Linked DNA regions of Kluyveromyces lactis. The protein of the gene in region 1 interacts with the protein of each later gene in a biochemical or structural test. Links are inferred from orthologs where the notes say so. Each region holds a gene or a part of one and is shown on either strand. Other genes may lie near its edges. The genes, in order: KLLA0_F03839g and AVO2.

Evidence for each region.
Region 2: the proteins of KLLA0_F03839g (region 1) and AVO2 form a complex in vitro, tested with the Saccharomyces cerevisiae proteins (2 studies listed by BioGRID). The link is inferred for Kluyveromyces lactis from reciprocal best matches to the Saccharomyces cerevisiae genes SLM1 and AVO2.

The regions. Positions count from the first base shown.
Region 1 is NC_006042.1:361,178-369,598, forward strand, and holds KLLA0_F03839g (SLM1 family PH domain-containing protein), read right to left. Parts: upstream 4,747-8,421; coding exon 2,800-4,746; downstream 1-2,799. Other genes in the region: MOB1 (Mob1p), read left to right, coding at 1-560; alpha-1,2-mannosyltransferase ALG11, read left to right, coding at 916-2,628; KLLA0_F03861g (uncharacterized protein), read left to right, coding at 5,940-6,350; LAP2 (bifunctional aminopeptidase/epoxide hydrolase), read left to right, coding at 7,098-8,421. UniProt on the Saccharomyces cerevisiae protein: Together with SLM2, acts as an effector of the TORC2- and calcineurin-signaling pathways. Phosphorylated and activated by TORC2 under favorable growth conditions. Mediates actin polarization via inhibition of calcineurin-dependent transcription.
Region 2 is NC_006042.1:2,410,720-2,417,957, forward strand, and holds AVO2 (Avo2p), read right to left. Parts: upstream 1,553-7,238; coding exon 542-1,552; downstream 1-541. Other genes in the region: HOT13 (Hot13p), read left to right, coding at 181-525; UBX4 (Ubx4p), read left to right, coding at 1,863-2,522; SOV1 (Sov1p), read right to left, coding at 2,577-5,156; ribosome biosynthesis protein RRP14, read right to left, coding at 5,546-6,889. UniProt on the Saccharomyces cerevisiae protein: Component of TORC2, which regulates cell cycle-dependent polarization of the actin-cytoskeleton and cell wall integrity.

The DNA.
Region 1 (8,421 bases):
AGATCGTGGAGACCACTTTGGGGTCCAAAGGTGTTTTAAACCAGGCTGTTAAATTACCTAAGGGCGAAAATATCGACGAATGGATTGCTGTACACTGTGTCGATTTCTACAACCAAATCAATATGTTATATGGGTCCATCACGGAATTTTGTTCCCCACAAACATGTCCAAGAATGATAGCCACTAACGAATACGAATACCTATGGAACGTCCATCCTGGGAAACCTCCTATATCGTTACCGGCACCTAAATACGTCGATTATCTTATCAGATGGTGTCAACAGCAGTTTGATGATGAATCATATTTCCCAAGCAAACCAGGTGCCCCATTCCCAAAAGATTTCAAAGACTCTATCGCAAGACCTATCTTGAAAAGGCTATTTAGAGTTTACGCCCATATCTACTGTCATCATTTCAACGAAATTTTAGAACTCAATCTACAAACAGTTCTCAATACAAGTTTCAGACATGTCTGTCTGTTCTCAGAAGAATTCCACATCTTAAAGACTAACGACTATGGGCCTTTGCTTGAACTTGTAATTGAATTTAAAGATAGGTGAGAACGAATTCCCATTTAAACCGTTCAAAATCAAATGAAAATAGCACTTGAAATGATGGTTCATCAAATCCACATTCGTAGGTAACATATACATATTTTGTATAAGCATCACCCGCCTTCCTTTTTATAGTCTCTCTTATTTTAAGATCTGTCGTGTCTATGCGGATAACTCCGGTTCAGTTTCAACGATAAGGAAACTCAGATTGTGAACAATCTTATTTTACACATAAAAGATGAGGTACAATATATGAAAATCTTGCCTTAATGTCCTGATATAAATATATTAGCGAACGTTAGTTACGAGTTAAACAAGTCAGCCGCGTGTCCTGGGCTACTTTTCAATTGATATACAAACAATGAAGCTGGCTGATTTTGTCACGTACGTGTTCGGCAGCTTACTCGCAGGATTGGTTACATTGAAAGTATTGTCATCCTTCATACCAAGTTTGCTAGTAACTCTACCAGCGAAAGTAAGGTTACGTGTTAATAACTCACTTCTAAAATGCTCAAACAATTTGAACAGGATTCCTGTGCTGGATTTTGGTTGGAAGAACTCCTCTGTTAGAAGAGCCTTTATTTTAGCTTCTGAAAGGCCATCGGATTATACAAACAAAATATATGGCGATAGGGTTCATATAGCATACAATGATAGAATAAAGAGAGAGTCATTCGTTAATAAGTTGGGTTTTGATTCAAAGCGTAAACTCTTAGGGTTTTTCCATCCTTACTGTAACGCTGGTGGTGGTGGAGAGAAAGTCTTGTGGAAAGCCGTTGAGACATCGCTAAATCAGGATAAAAACAATATATGCGTTATCTATACCGGAGACACAGATGTTAATGGATCAGATATATTGAACAGTGTGCGGAGAAGGTTTGAATACGATCTAGATTCGGACAGAATAGTATTCATTTTCCTACAGAAGAGAAGACTGGTAGAATCAAAAAGTTGGCCGAAATTTACGCTATTAGGCCAAGCTTATGGTTCCATCATTTTGTCCATTGAAGCGCTTACTACACTTGCTCCAGATTATTGGATAGATACAATGGGATATCCTTTTGCTTATCCCTTTGTATCTTTGTTTGCTAGGATTCCAATTGTAACGTATACCCATTATCCTGTCATCTCAACAGATATGCTACAAAAGCTAAAAACTATGCCAGGATTTCACACAAACTTTAAACTGATCGGTAAATATGTCTACTGGAAAATATTCATGCTCGCATACAAATTTTCAGGCTTATTTGTTGAAATTGCATCGACTAATTCAACTTGGACTTATAATCATATTAAATCCATCTGGTCCTCAACAAAAAATATTCACATTATTTATCCACCATGTTCCACAGAATCATTGATAGAAGGCTGTGACAAATCAGATCCAGTTAAAAGACTAAATCAAGCGGTTGTTATTGCGCAGTTTAGACCAGAAAAAAGACACGAATTGATATTATCTTCCTTCTCTTCTTTCATCGATGCTACGACTAAGAAAGATTTGATTCCTAAAATAATATTTATAGGATCAACAAGAAACGTAGAGGATAGGGAATATGTTGAAACGCTGAAGAAGTATGCCTTTGAGGCACTTAAAATTCCAACCCATTTAGTGGATTTCAAAACTGATTGTAAATATGATGATATGAAGAGTATATTATATTCTTCATGGTTTGGTATAAACGCAATGTGGAATGAGCATTTTGGTATAGCTGTCGTGGAATATATGGCAAGTGGTTTGATCCCATTATGTCATGCTTCTGCTGGACCTCTTTATGATATTGTAGTGCCATGGGATTCAAAGAAGAATGAACAAAGTACTGACAAAGCTAATGAAACCGGCTTTTTCTTCATCGATGAAACTGATCCGGATTTTCTAGCCAAAGATTCTTCAAAGTATAGTTCTTTACGCACGTTATTTGCTCAGGTATCGAAATTGAATACTGTACAAAGAATTGATATCTCAAATAGAGCCAAGATGTGCTCTTTATCAAAATTTTCTGATTCAGAGTTTGAACGTTCATGGAACGAGGTGTTGGAGGAACTCAATTTGACTCATAATAGAATGTTCAGTTGAATTTGAATTATATAAATTGTTACATTACTTAGACAATGAAGTAAAGCTATAGATGTTTCGATATCAGTTCGTATATGCACTTGCTTTGAAAACATGACATCATACTTGTTACAATTTTGTTTCGGAAGTATTAGCAGAGAGAGGTGACATGGTGCCATTTTGGCGAGATTACTACACGTTATTCTTGGCAGAATTTTCTAATGAATATTGGCCTGATTTACGAGGATTTTTAGGGGTTAAAAACTGCGATGCTTTGTTCATTGGCTCGATATTAGAGTTGTTCAAAGTGGTGTTACCTGTAGTTTCAGAAAAAGCGTGTATCTCGTTTTCTGTCCTTGGGGTTGCCAGAATCGAGTCATTGTTGTCAACACTAGCTCTGGCTGCTTGGTTGCCTTGTGGTGTAGAGTGTGTCAATACCGATTTATTATGTGAGCCATCCAAGTTCAATTTTTCTGTGACAAATCTAGCTTTTTCCACAGGATTGGAGGTAGAAGTTAGCTGTTTAATATTGTTGAACCAGTCCATCATAGATTCGTAAGAATCTGTTCTGAAAACCCAATTATGACCTCTGTGGATAATCCCGTTTTGTTTTGTATGCAATATAAACTTAAAGTCTGAAGATCCTTTCTTGGAATGTTCTGCAACAGTACAGTCATTCAAAGACAACGATATTACGGGAATCAAGTCTTTCTTCCTATCACCGGATTTAAACTCATGCAAGAAACTTGGAGTTAAGACATAGAACCCACGAGAATATGATTTCAAGAATTTGGATCTTCTTTCGAGAATTCCAGATTTAATCTCGTACGTGAATGGATCATTTTGGTTCTTGTAAACAATGTCTTTGACACGTCTCATTGGTAAGTTAGGATCGATGAAATTTGGGTCCTTAGCGACAAAGTTTTCCCATTCAAAGACAGGATCTTTATTGAAAAAACCAGTGTCCAATTTGGAAATCAAAACGTCAAACACTATCTGAGCTTCTTGGCCTAAAACTTTAGCGTAACTGGTCAAAGCGTTTTGAATTTCCATCATAACAACTTTTTCCAACTCCCTACCAGAAGTTTGTAAATTATTAAAAGCTTCATGCAAGAAATTCTCTTCGGTCAACTGTTTCTTGATTTGTTTTTCCAAAAGGATCTTCGCTAGGAAAGGATCCTGTTTCACAGATCCGTATTTAGAATTTTCCAACGATTCCTGGAAAGCTTTTAAACGAATTTTGGTTTCCTGAAGTTCCTTGTTACATGAATTTTTGAAATCTGACTCTAAAGATTGAATTTCTTTAATTTTCACCAATAGATCACGTCTCATATCCTCTAATCTGGGGATCACATCTTGACTCAATTCCTTGGAGGCCTTTGATGCTGCATGGACCATTTGCGTATGGTACTGATTAAATAAGGTGGGTAGATCCTGAATAGATCCGTGCCCTAGAGGCAAAAAGAATTTTTGAATGTTCTTGTCCTCTGGAGTGGTAGGTTGATGTTGGCTATCAATGGTGAAAAATGGGAAGTTAATTGCATGCTGCAATCTCAAATGTTGTCTTACAACTTCATCTTGGATGGAAACCGTTTCTTGTAGATATACAAGAAGTGATCTGATAATACCTCTCCATGCTGCAAATCTCTGAGAGAGAACTTCTGTAGGGTTCGCATTAGTAGGCATCAATACCACCAAAGGAGATCTGGGATCCTGACCGTTGGACCTATGTCTTTGCAATGAAGCCCTGTTTCTGCTAACATGCGTATGCGAGCTAGTCAACGAATTCGTCTGCTGCTGTCTCTTGGAAGAATTCATTTGAGGGAAAGAAATTCCTTCTTCAAGACCAGTTGCATTTGCATTCCCTTGAACGCCAACAACATCCGCTGACATGGATCCTCGCGGTTGGTTCACATCGATAGATATGTTATCGGTCGGATAAGGAATTGTCTGGCCAGCAACCGAAACTCTGTTGTTAGCGCTAGTTCCATTCAATCCGCTTTGCTGGAAATTCTTGTAATCAGCAGAAGTCAAACTTCTAGATGGTTGCTGTTGCAGCTGCTGCAATTGCTGCAAACTGTGTTGGTTTTGCGAAAGCATATCGGCTATACTGCTAGTCATAGTGTTTTGTTTGGACATCTTATCACTCGAAAGCACAAATCAGAAGTAAACTATAATGATGATGATTATGATGATAAAGTCTGCGATAGCCCGGCTTTTCTCTTTTTTTTGTAGCTAAAGGGCTCCTCCTTCTTTATTCCTTAATAACTACTCAAACCGTAATTATCTCCAAAGTACCGAAAATACCTCGCCAGGAGAAAACGCTTTCTTTAACGTTCTATCGTATCAGTTTCTTAACAAAGGGAAAATGGAAGCACAAATCCCTAGTATTGTACTGAACTTGAGGTCCTTGCAAAATTTCTTAAATAATTCTTCCCAGTTTCAATTTTAATTGCAATTTCAAATTTTTGTTATTTTTAAAGCTGGGCTCCCAAAACTTCCTCTAAATATTACTGTACTTGGTGATTACTACAGCATTTTCTTATGATTTTTTTTTTTTCCATTTTTTGCATTCGATGCTTCTGTGAGATAAAGAAAGGTTCAATACATATGGATGGGGTTGGAGAAAGGATGCTGTGGATCCTGGTGGTGTAAAGCTTGCAGATAAGGGGTGTGAAAAGCTAGGACGAAGACGTCAATGGCACTGTCCAGGATAGATCTGTGGGAAGAATGATATTTAGTAGTATATATTACCATGTATTGACGTTTGGCCCTGTACAGAGTGATGAGGATATTCTGCTTCAACTGAATCTCCTTGTATCCATAGGCATTTTTTTTGTTACGTGTGGCATACGTCGAAATCAACTGGCCGAAATGGACGGTATAGTAGAAGTCCTATTCGGCTAAACCGTCTCTTCAACTGGATACCTGTGTTCTGCTCTTTGTCATGTTTTCAGCCACCTCTTTGAAGTGTTGTGTGTAACACCTGTGTGCATACTGTATTTGTTGCTACTGGGGTTCCTGCAAGATCTCTGAGCGATTTCTCCGATCACACAGTTACCTCTTCCGATTAATGACACGTGACACCGAAATATCGTTTTCCCTTTCTCAGATTTTGTTTACGTTTCGTTCAATATGACTATTGAAATCTCGAATTGAGTAAAGTAATGAATCAAGTGATTGACATATCAGCGGATCAGCAGGCAAGGGACTGATATCCAAAGTCTTTACTGTACCCCCGGCGAATCATTTAAATTCAAGAGCAGAACGTTACTGTTCCAACATTATTCAAGAAAAATAGCTCTGGAAAGCTACTGTGGGAGTATCTCTCAATGCAGTATTTCACCAAAGATGCGTCCATGGTGTATACGTATGATGGGATACAAAAGACGAACGCGGGCAATATTAAGCTGCGACGTTTGAAAACATCATCGATATCTAGATTGTTTTCAAGGAGCAAAACTGCACGTCTGCGTAACAGAGGCACAAGGAACAAACAAGCAAAATTTGTAGGGTCTGATTTGAATAAATTAGAGAGGTTCATATATTCAGAGAGATTCATGCCATGTGTCATATTCGTTATCTGTATAGTGACGCTACTGCATCTGATACTTGCCCGGCTGATTAATATGTTTCAGGAAATGGTCAAATATTATTTCTACGCGAACCTTTTCGGAATGGGCTGGGATTGGTACTCGAAATGGAACTGGATAGTTTTACATATACTTGAGAAGTTCGTATAGCTTCATATAATAGATCGCATTAATCGATGTTCTCTCAGTAGTTACAGTGTCTCATGTTAAGCACCATGAATCATACTGTAGTATCATATTTAATAAAAGGCATTATAGTGCGAAAATGCTTACAAATGAACGTCATTGTTTCCATCCTAAAGCCGCTTAATACAGCTTAATGAAAGAACATACAACTGACACAGACTCGTGGTGACAATTTTCCTCACTTTGATCTGAGAACATTTCATGTTTATATTTATTCCATCTTATTTGTCCCATGCGGTTACTCTATGTGTCAAAAACACTTATTACCCGGTACACAATATGAATTGACAAAGGGTACATGAAAAAATGTGTCAATCTGAGCTTTTGCTTCTTGAAATATGAACGAATGTTAAAAAATCTCCGGTATTGCACAATACATACTATCTTCTCATTCATCTTGGCGTTCTTTCTTATATTGTACTTCCATTTTGAGTTTCTCTTTTGAAAACAAGTGCATGCACGTACTGGCTAATTCAGTTGGCTCTAATTTGTCCCCTGTTACCCCTATATTGTGGAAACTTTAACAAGAGCTTTGTCTGTCTTTTTGTTTTAATATTGTGTGTGTGTGTTTTTTTTTTTTTTTCATTAATATCTAACTACTGGAGAGATCGTTTTGAGGTTGACCAATATTTAGTCAATTGTGTGTCTTTTACCTAATTTTTCAAGCGGTTCCATCTTCGGCGCATCGTTAAACTCATCCCTGCCAAGTGTATGCTTTTCAATTTTTACAATAAAACTTCGGCTGCTTGTAAATCTTTACCCGCTAAAGCTTTATCGAACGTTAGATATTTCCAAACCTCTCCTATATCGAGAAAAATGCCACTTCCACCTGTTCTTGAATCACGTCGTCCCAAAGAATCTCCGGAATTCGACTATTCTACACTTTCCAATTACAAGTCTTTCAAGGTAAAGCATTCACAGTTGGATGTTAGCGTTGATTTCAAAAAGAAAACCATTAGTGGTTCTGTCTCTTACGAGATTGAAAAGGTGAAGAAGGATGAAAACACTATCAAGTTGGATACTTCTTACTTGAAGATCTCTAAAGTCAAAGTGGATGATGAAGACGACGTGAAGTTTAAATTGTTAGAAAGAAAACATCCATTGGGTGCTCAGTTAATTGTTAGTCCATCTTCTTTGCCGGAAATATTCCATTTGTGCTTACAATTTTCGACAACTGCAGACTGTACAGCATTGCAATGGCTTGATGAACACCAAACATCTGGGAAACCGTACGTTTTCTCTCAATTGGAAGCCATCCATGCGAGAAGTCTATTCACATGTTTTGATACCCCAAGTGTAAAATCTACATATCTCGCCAACATCAAGTCTGAATTACCAGTTGTGTTTTCGGGTATCCAAACAGGTTACGATGATTCTACTAAGGTCTACTCTTTCAAGCAAGAAGTACCAATTCCAGCATATTTGATCGGTATCGCATCAGGTGATTTGGCCAGCGCTGATATTGGTCCTCGTTCCAAAGTTTACGTGGAACCTTATCGTTTAAAGGACGCCCAGTGGGAATTTGATGGTGATGTTGAAAAATTCATTACCACTGCTGAAGACATCATTTTCAAATACGAATGGGGCACCTACGACATTTTGGTGAACCCAAACTCATACCCTTATGGTGGAATGGAATCTCCAAACATGACATTTGCCACACCGACTCTAATTGCCCATGATAAGTCGAACATCGACGTTATCGCACATGAATTGGCACATTCATGGTCTGGTAACTTGGTCACAAACTGTTCCTGGGACCATTTCTGGCTAAATGAAGGTTGGACAGTGTATTTAGAAAGAAGAATCACTGGTGCTATTCATGGTGAAGCTACCAGACATTTCAGCTCGTTGATTGGTTGGAATGATTTGGAAGGTTCTATTTCTGCTATGCAGAACCCTGAAAGGTTCAGTTGCTTGGTCCAAAATTTGAAGGATGGTACCGATCCTGATAATGCATTTTCGACAGTCCCTTACGAAAAGGGCTCTAACCTACTATTCTACCTAGAGAATCTGTTAGGAGGTAAAGAGGTAT
Region 2 (7,238 bases), about 2.0 Mb from region 1:
TTCATTTATATATTTATGTATATTCTTTCCACACTACTTTTTTTTTCCCACATAGTTTAAATTCGAAAACATTCAAATTGAAAGCTGTTAACCATCCCATACTCAATATCGAGGATTTGAGAGTATATTACTTTCATATTTAAGAATTGTATACTGCAGTATAACTGGTCACCCATCTCCATGGAAAAAGCACAGATATATGGGAAACTTGTGGATAAAGAAAGTCGGTGTGAACACTGGCACGGTCCACTGGACGTTATAGCCCTCCGGTTCAAATGCTGTAACGGATACTATGCATGTTACGAGTGTCACCAGGAATTGGTACCGCACGTCACAGAAAGGTACAATATAAACGACGAAACTGTCCCGTTGGTCATATGCGGCGTATGCAAACTTGAAATGTCGTTTGCTGCATACAGTGATTCGTTGCAATGTCCGAATTGCAGATCGCAATTCAACCCAGGCTGTAAATTACATTACGATATGTATTTTATGAAAGATGATGAACCAGAAAATCTCCGATAGATAAATATATACTGTTCTATCGCGCTGCAGTGCTATCTTCACCTCTTCTCACTTTGGTTATTGCCACATTGAGTAACCTACTTGTCGATGGGATGCTGGGTGACTCCGGGTCACCCATGCTGTTGGAATTGGATTCCCTTGATCTCGGTAAGGTCGGCGGGCCGATAGCAACGGCTTCTGATGCCGCTGTGGAAGCAGCAGAAACTGAAGCGGCGTCTACTGCCACGGTAGTAGCTCTAGGGGAGGCATCCACGATAGCACCTGGAGCGCTTAGGTAATCGTTCAAATCTTTTATGCTGCGTCTTCCACGAAGCTCTGGAGAAAGTGGCCCATTGTTACCGCCTAAGAAAGTCTTGCTAGCTGCTATATCTGGCGTGCCAATTGGTACCGTACTACTGCCGCTACTGACGCCCTTTCTTATCTCGGCGGCAAACTGGTCGAATTTTTTGATGGTCTCGTCGCAATTTCCGACTTGTCTTGCCACTATCCCCATTTGGTTCTGTTCATCGGCTAATGTTGCCCCACCGCATTGCAGCAAAATCGGCAAACATTGGATCGCGCCGTATTCCATAGCTACGTGTAATCCTGTGTTTCCCTCTTCGTCTTCCAATGTTACGTCCGCGCCACATTGTAAGAGAAGAGCCAGGCATCGGGAATGGTTCGATCGGCATGCTATATGGATTGGCGCCCATCTTCTGGCGCTGCTGCTTCGCAGGTTCAACCCTTCTTCGAGGAAATGCTGCAATAATAGATGTACTGTTTGTTCATCCCCTTTCGTAATTGCCAAATGGATACACGTATCCCCGTCGTAGGTTTTTAACATTGCAGTGGCATCATGACCAAGTTGGATCAAATGGCGGCAAATCAAGTATCTACCGTAGAATGCAGCGTAATGCAACGATGACCAGCCGTTCGTACTGTCGATGTTCTCGAGCAGGTCTGGCCATCGTTTGAGAATTCTTCTCACAACGCCCAATTTACCCTGGACAATCGCCTCTCTTAGTCTTATCCTTGGCTCAGGGATCATTGGAACAAAATTTTATAGGTGCAAACTGTTCTCTCTCTTTCTTTCTCACTCTCTTTTCTGTCCATCTATTCTTCACTCTAGGGTAAATACATTGATTTAAGTTATTCCTTTATTTTAAGATTTTATTATTGTACTTTTTATCGCTCGATGTTTATTGTTCTCTTTTTTTTACTTATAATTTTGATATACTACTAATGACAAGTGAAAACGCCAGAAGCTGAAAAACCCTGTTAAACTGCTGTATTGATAATGGAAGAATAAGTGATGAGCAAAGGAGAATATCAAGAAAAGTACTATATTAACTCATTCAATGGCCGATAATTCTACTAATCATCATCCGAAAGTGATATTACCGAGGGACCAAACTAGCGTTAATGGTTCTGATGTGAACGATGCCAATTATAACTTAACTGTAGATCATGCCTTAAGGTATCAGAAACTATTGGCCAATAGAGCAGGGACGAACTTGGCAACTGGCCCACTTATGACCAAAAGGTTAAGAGAACAGAAAGAGGGGCAAGATTCTGCTAGCGCTCAGGCAGCTCAAAGTATAGATTATCTTTACATAAGAGCTAGGTTACCGGATAGAACTGCGCTGGATTATCAATTGAGTGTTACTAGTACACTCCATTCGTTATATGAGACTATAAGGGGATCACTAATAGAGACTGCTGCTGCGCAGGTCTCAGTCAGCTTGTCGAGCCCTTTCATCAAACTAAAGGATGACGATACTGTTACACTCTTGGATGCTGGATTTAGTAAGAAAACTCTAGTTCTTGTGGAGGTTGGTGATTGTTCGCCACCATATCTAAAGCCTCATCTTTTGGCGAATGCAAAGGCCTATGCAGAACAACAACAGAAAGAACAAAAGATACAGGAGAATTCAGGTGGGGAATCCATTGCAGAAGGACCCAAGCCCACCAGGAAATTGACCAAAGCCCCTAAATGGTTGAAGTTAAGCAAAAAATAAATACCAAAAAAATGCAATCATTAAAACGCTTATCTAGATATATACAGGTAATCTTCATTCAACGTATCTGTGAAACTTCAAATCATTCGGATTCAACCCTAATTGCTGTAACTTCTCATTCAATTGATCTTTGCTATAGTTGATCAATCGTAAATATTCCATTAGATCGGCCAATAAATTTTGGAAGTTCTCCTCGTCATCTATGCCAGCGAGTTTTAGGTTGTTGAGGGCTCTTTTGTCTTCTATTTCTTTTAATTTAAAGCGTAGAGATCTGACTAATTCAGTGTCAAGTGTGTCACGCTTTTCCAACTTCATCTTTAGTTGTTCAATATAATCTTTCCTTAACCCTTTCCTAACATATTCTACCCTGGAAGGGGTAATGTTCAACATCTGAACGTCATGCATGTAACATAGAACAGCAAATAGATTATTCCATTCTTTATTAGCGGTGAATGCGCTTATAACTATATTTACAAGTTCATAGTTCAAAAGAGTTCCGTGCTCGATAGTCATCTTATTAAAAACATCGAACATCTTATAATCAAGTCTACTTTTGATGTCTTTTCGTTTCTGTACCGTAGTGTGTATCCAGTTATCACTGCCTCTTAGTTTACAATTTATTAGTCTATAGTATCCTCGGTATACTTTCCAGATCTCTTTGTACAATTTTCGTGGAGGTATTTCGCAAGACTTTGACCCAAGAGACTCTGAAGTGGAGAAAAATCTATTAATTAGAACGATACAATCTTCATATCTCTCCTGGCAGAAAAAATGTCTAAGTAATGACAATAACAACAACGAATTGAGTTTCACTTTGTTTTCATTAGCACGCTGGATCATCTGTTCCACCTTAAGCTCGGCTGTTCTATTCGACTTGTTTCGATAGTACTCGGTGAAAAGAAAATAATGGTGAGAATTTACTGGAGGATAAACTGATGCGCCTTTTTTGACTACATCTTTGTTCGCTTCTTCTTTCTTTGCTTCTTCTAACTTTGATAGTAATTTTAATGCAGCATCCTCACGATCACCGATGAGAAGCAGCTTTATGATCATTTGTAGCTTTTTAGATTTAAACTCTAAGTTTTGCTCATCAGATTCCGCAGAAAAGAATTCTAGTAAGTATTGCTGTAATACATCGGAAACACGTCTAAATCTAACCAAATCGTTCACATTACCGTACAACAAGTAACTGAAACTATTTCTAACTTTGGAGAAGTTATGTTTTTCCATTGCATCATTATACCAACCCTTTAGTTGCTCTAATTTCTTGGTTGCCTCGTCTGGTGATAAATATGGTTCTAACGCTTTTCCAAACGAGTCAAACTCTTTGAGCCATTGTAATCTTAATTTCACAATAAGTGTATTGAATAGTACTCCGTCCATTTTGGTAGACTGTTCAAAATTGGCGAATAATTGCATACCTTCTTTGCTGAACCCATATATTATATATGAGGAAATCATAGATAAGTAGTCTTTCTTCGAAACTTTTTGTTTCTCATTGAGAAAGCTGTTCGCTTCCTCTGAAGAATTGAAGTTTAAAAACCCATTCCTCGACATTGAAACTGTGCTGCGTCCGCCAGCGGCAGCTTCACTAGTATTATCTTCCGCCCAACCATAGGTCTTAACCATAGACAGAAGATGATCTGTCAATTGTCTGGCCTTTTGCACATGTCTTACGAACAATAGTTTTCTGATAGCGGATAGTATGACATCAGGTCTAATATAATTCTCCCCAAACGTGTCCATTGTTTCCAAATACAAATTATTAAACTTATGGAACTTGTTGCTCCTCAAATAAATCATCATACCAACTTCATACCACCACCGCTCGTTGACACGACGTTTATAACTCTCGAACAATGCTGCTGCAGTTTTGAATTTCCTGAAATGTAAAAGAGAATCAATGTAAAAGGATTCATTTCCAGGGTCCAATCTGACTTTCTTGAGTCCATAGATTAGTTGGCCAGTAAGATACTGTCCTCTGAGACGGTATTTCAAATTAGGTATCAATTTCGATAATTCAAATGCTTGTACCATTTGATCTAAGGAAATAATTTGACTTTTATCGACAACTGATGTGTCGGATAAAGTCTTCTCTAATAAATCTAAAAGATGATTTGTGTTAGTCAATGCATGTAGCTTGGGTTTCATTTCATCGTAAACCACTTGTTGTATAATTTTTTCATCAAGGTTTTCTATATCCGTGGAATCGTCAAATATTTCGCTATCCTTATTTTGAGTAAAATGACGATTAATTTCTTCGGGAGACATGGTTTGAAGTCTTTTTATTTCATTTTCTGATTCCAGAAGTAAGTATTCTACCACATCCTTCAATGAGGTTTCCTTCTGTTTCTTTAATTTTCGAAGATTCTTCTTTGATTTCTTGAAGCCCGGATTTGTCACCGCTAAATATGATAAGAACCAAGAATTCACACCAGAGTTTATATCAACTTCAGTGAAGTCATGTTTTTTCAAAACAGCAATGTCTTGCTTCTCCTGTATATGCATTGCATTATCAGCATTTTTCTTTATAGTGGAGATAGTATTTGATAAACTTTTGGTTCGTATATATCGAAGTTGTCTTGGTGTAACGAGTAAACTTAATCGACTTCGACAGGTTATCACATTCAGCATTATGCAATATAGAATCTTTCTCTTCTGCAACGTTGCCTTGTTTCGCTGGAGTGAACCTCTTCAACCTCATCTCATCGAGATACCTTATTTCATCTATACTATTGCGTCTGAACCATTTTCATGATTTTTCGAACGCAGTTTAAAATGAATGAAAAGAAATAACCGCACATTGGCTTCTGAAATCCATTATTAAAGACTACATGGTAATAGAGATTTTATGCATTATTACATTCTGGGTTTGATTATATTTATTTTTATATATCATTGGGTGTCAGTATATAAAAATAGAGATGCAAAAGTAAAAGTAAAAGGTTAATCTATAACTTGAAAGGATGAAATATGATATTATGCTTTTATTTGTTGGATGGAGAATATTAGTTGATTAAGGCTCATTTCTTCTTGACACTTTTCATACGTCCTTCAAATCCTGCTCTTTTCTTCAAATGGGCAGTTCCCTTGAATTTTCTCTTCATCTTCTGTTGTTTGCTCTTCTTCTTACCTTTATTGTCCTTTCTAATCTGTAGATTTTCCTCTCTTCTCTTCTGTCTTTCGGCAACAGTGTTTTCTACCACTTGTTTACGTTCACGCCATTCGACGGTCGACTTACGCTTCTTAGCCTCTTTACGCTTCAAAGCTTTGCGAAGTAGTTTCTCATCATCTTTAAGCCTGATACCTTCTGCTTGCAACATGGCTTTTTGCCATTTTTCCTTCTCTTTCAGTTTAATTTGATCCAATTCATCTCTTGATTCTAATGATTGTTTCTTTGTCTCTAGCAGTCTTAAATGAGCTTTAACGTCCTTTTTGGCAGGTCCCTTTTTTCTTTCACCCTTTCTTACATGCGATAAATCAGATGTAGCCTTTGTACCGTCATTGAATTGAATACTTTGGAACATAACATCTTTGGCTGAAATCTCTTCATCACCATTGCGACGATGTTTCTTGGAAACGTGAGCATCTTCTGCATCCGAGTCCGAATCAGAATCTGCGCTATCATCAGAAGACACATCACCAGCTTTTTCAGAATCTAACTTGGTGGCCCTTGCCTCTTGTCTACGTTTTCTTTGAGCAAGAATAGCTTCTCTTGAACTTGGCGCACCTTCCACCTTGGTTCCTGGGGCTTTTCTTTTCTCCTTTAAAGCTTTGATTTTCTCCTGTAGTTTACAGCGTAATTCTTCCATCTTCTTCTTCTTCTGAGAAGAGTCATCTTTGGTACGTTCGATGGCCTCCTGTTTTTTCTGTATACGCTCTTTCTCTTGCTTCTGTTTGTTCTGATCTACTGGGTTTCCATCATCATCAAAGATCACCGCTATACTCTCAGATTCGCCCAAAGTTTGAGAAATGTTTATTTCCGGTACTTCGTCAGATTCTTGTTCCTCGGTTTGCTCCTCCTCGTCCTCTTCTTCGTCCTCTTCGTCTTCATCATCTTCGGACGATGTTTCAGACTCTGCGTCTAGTAGTTCACGTTGGATCTTCTTTTGGCCTGGTAAAACCACAGCTTTCGCCTGAGCTTGTTTCTTCTTCATAACTTCGAGGGCAGAGCTGGATTCATCGTCCTGCTGCTCAGGATCCAATTTCGATTTCTTATCCTCCTTCAATTGCCCTTTGCTCTTCTTCTTGGCATTCCATTGTTCCTGTGTCTTGTCATCGTAGTAATATTTCGCAGGTATCAACGAAAGTAGCCCTTCAAAGGCGCTAGAATTCGATTTCAACCGTTCTTCAAGAGAATTGCTCATGTCAGGGTGGATTGGTACAACTGAGCTGTGTAAATAATATCCTTCTTACTAAACGAATCTTAGTACTGATAAGTACATTGCTGTAAGAACAAGTTAAGTCTCTGTACCTGTCCGGTGCGATGAGCTGAAAATTTTCTATATACGGTTTTGAGAATATCACGTATGGTGAATCTTTGAGGTTTCTTTTCTACAGGGAAAATTACAAAAAAAAAAGAATACACTTTAAATAAGTCACGTGACCTTAGTCAAAACGAGCGGAAGATGACTTCTGTATATACAATGTACAGAAGTACTGTACAGTAACAGACTTCAACCATTTTATTGTTGCCACATGTACACCATCATTCTT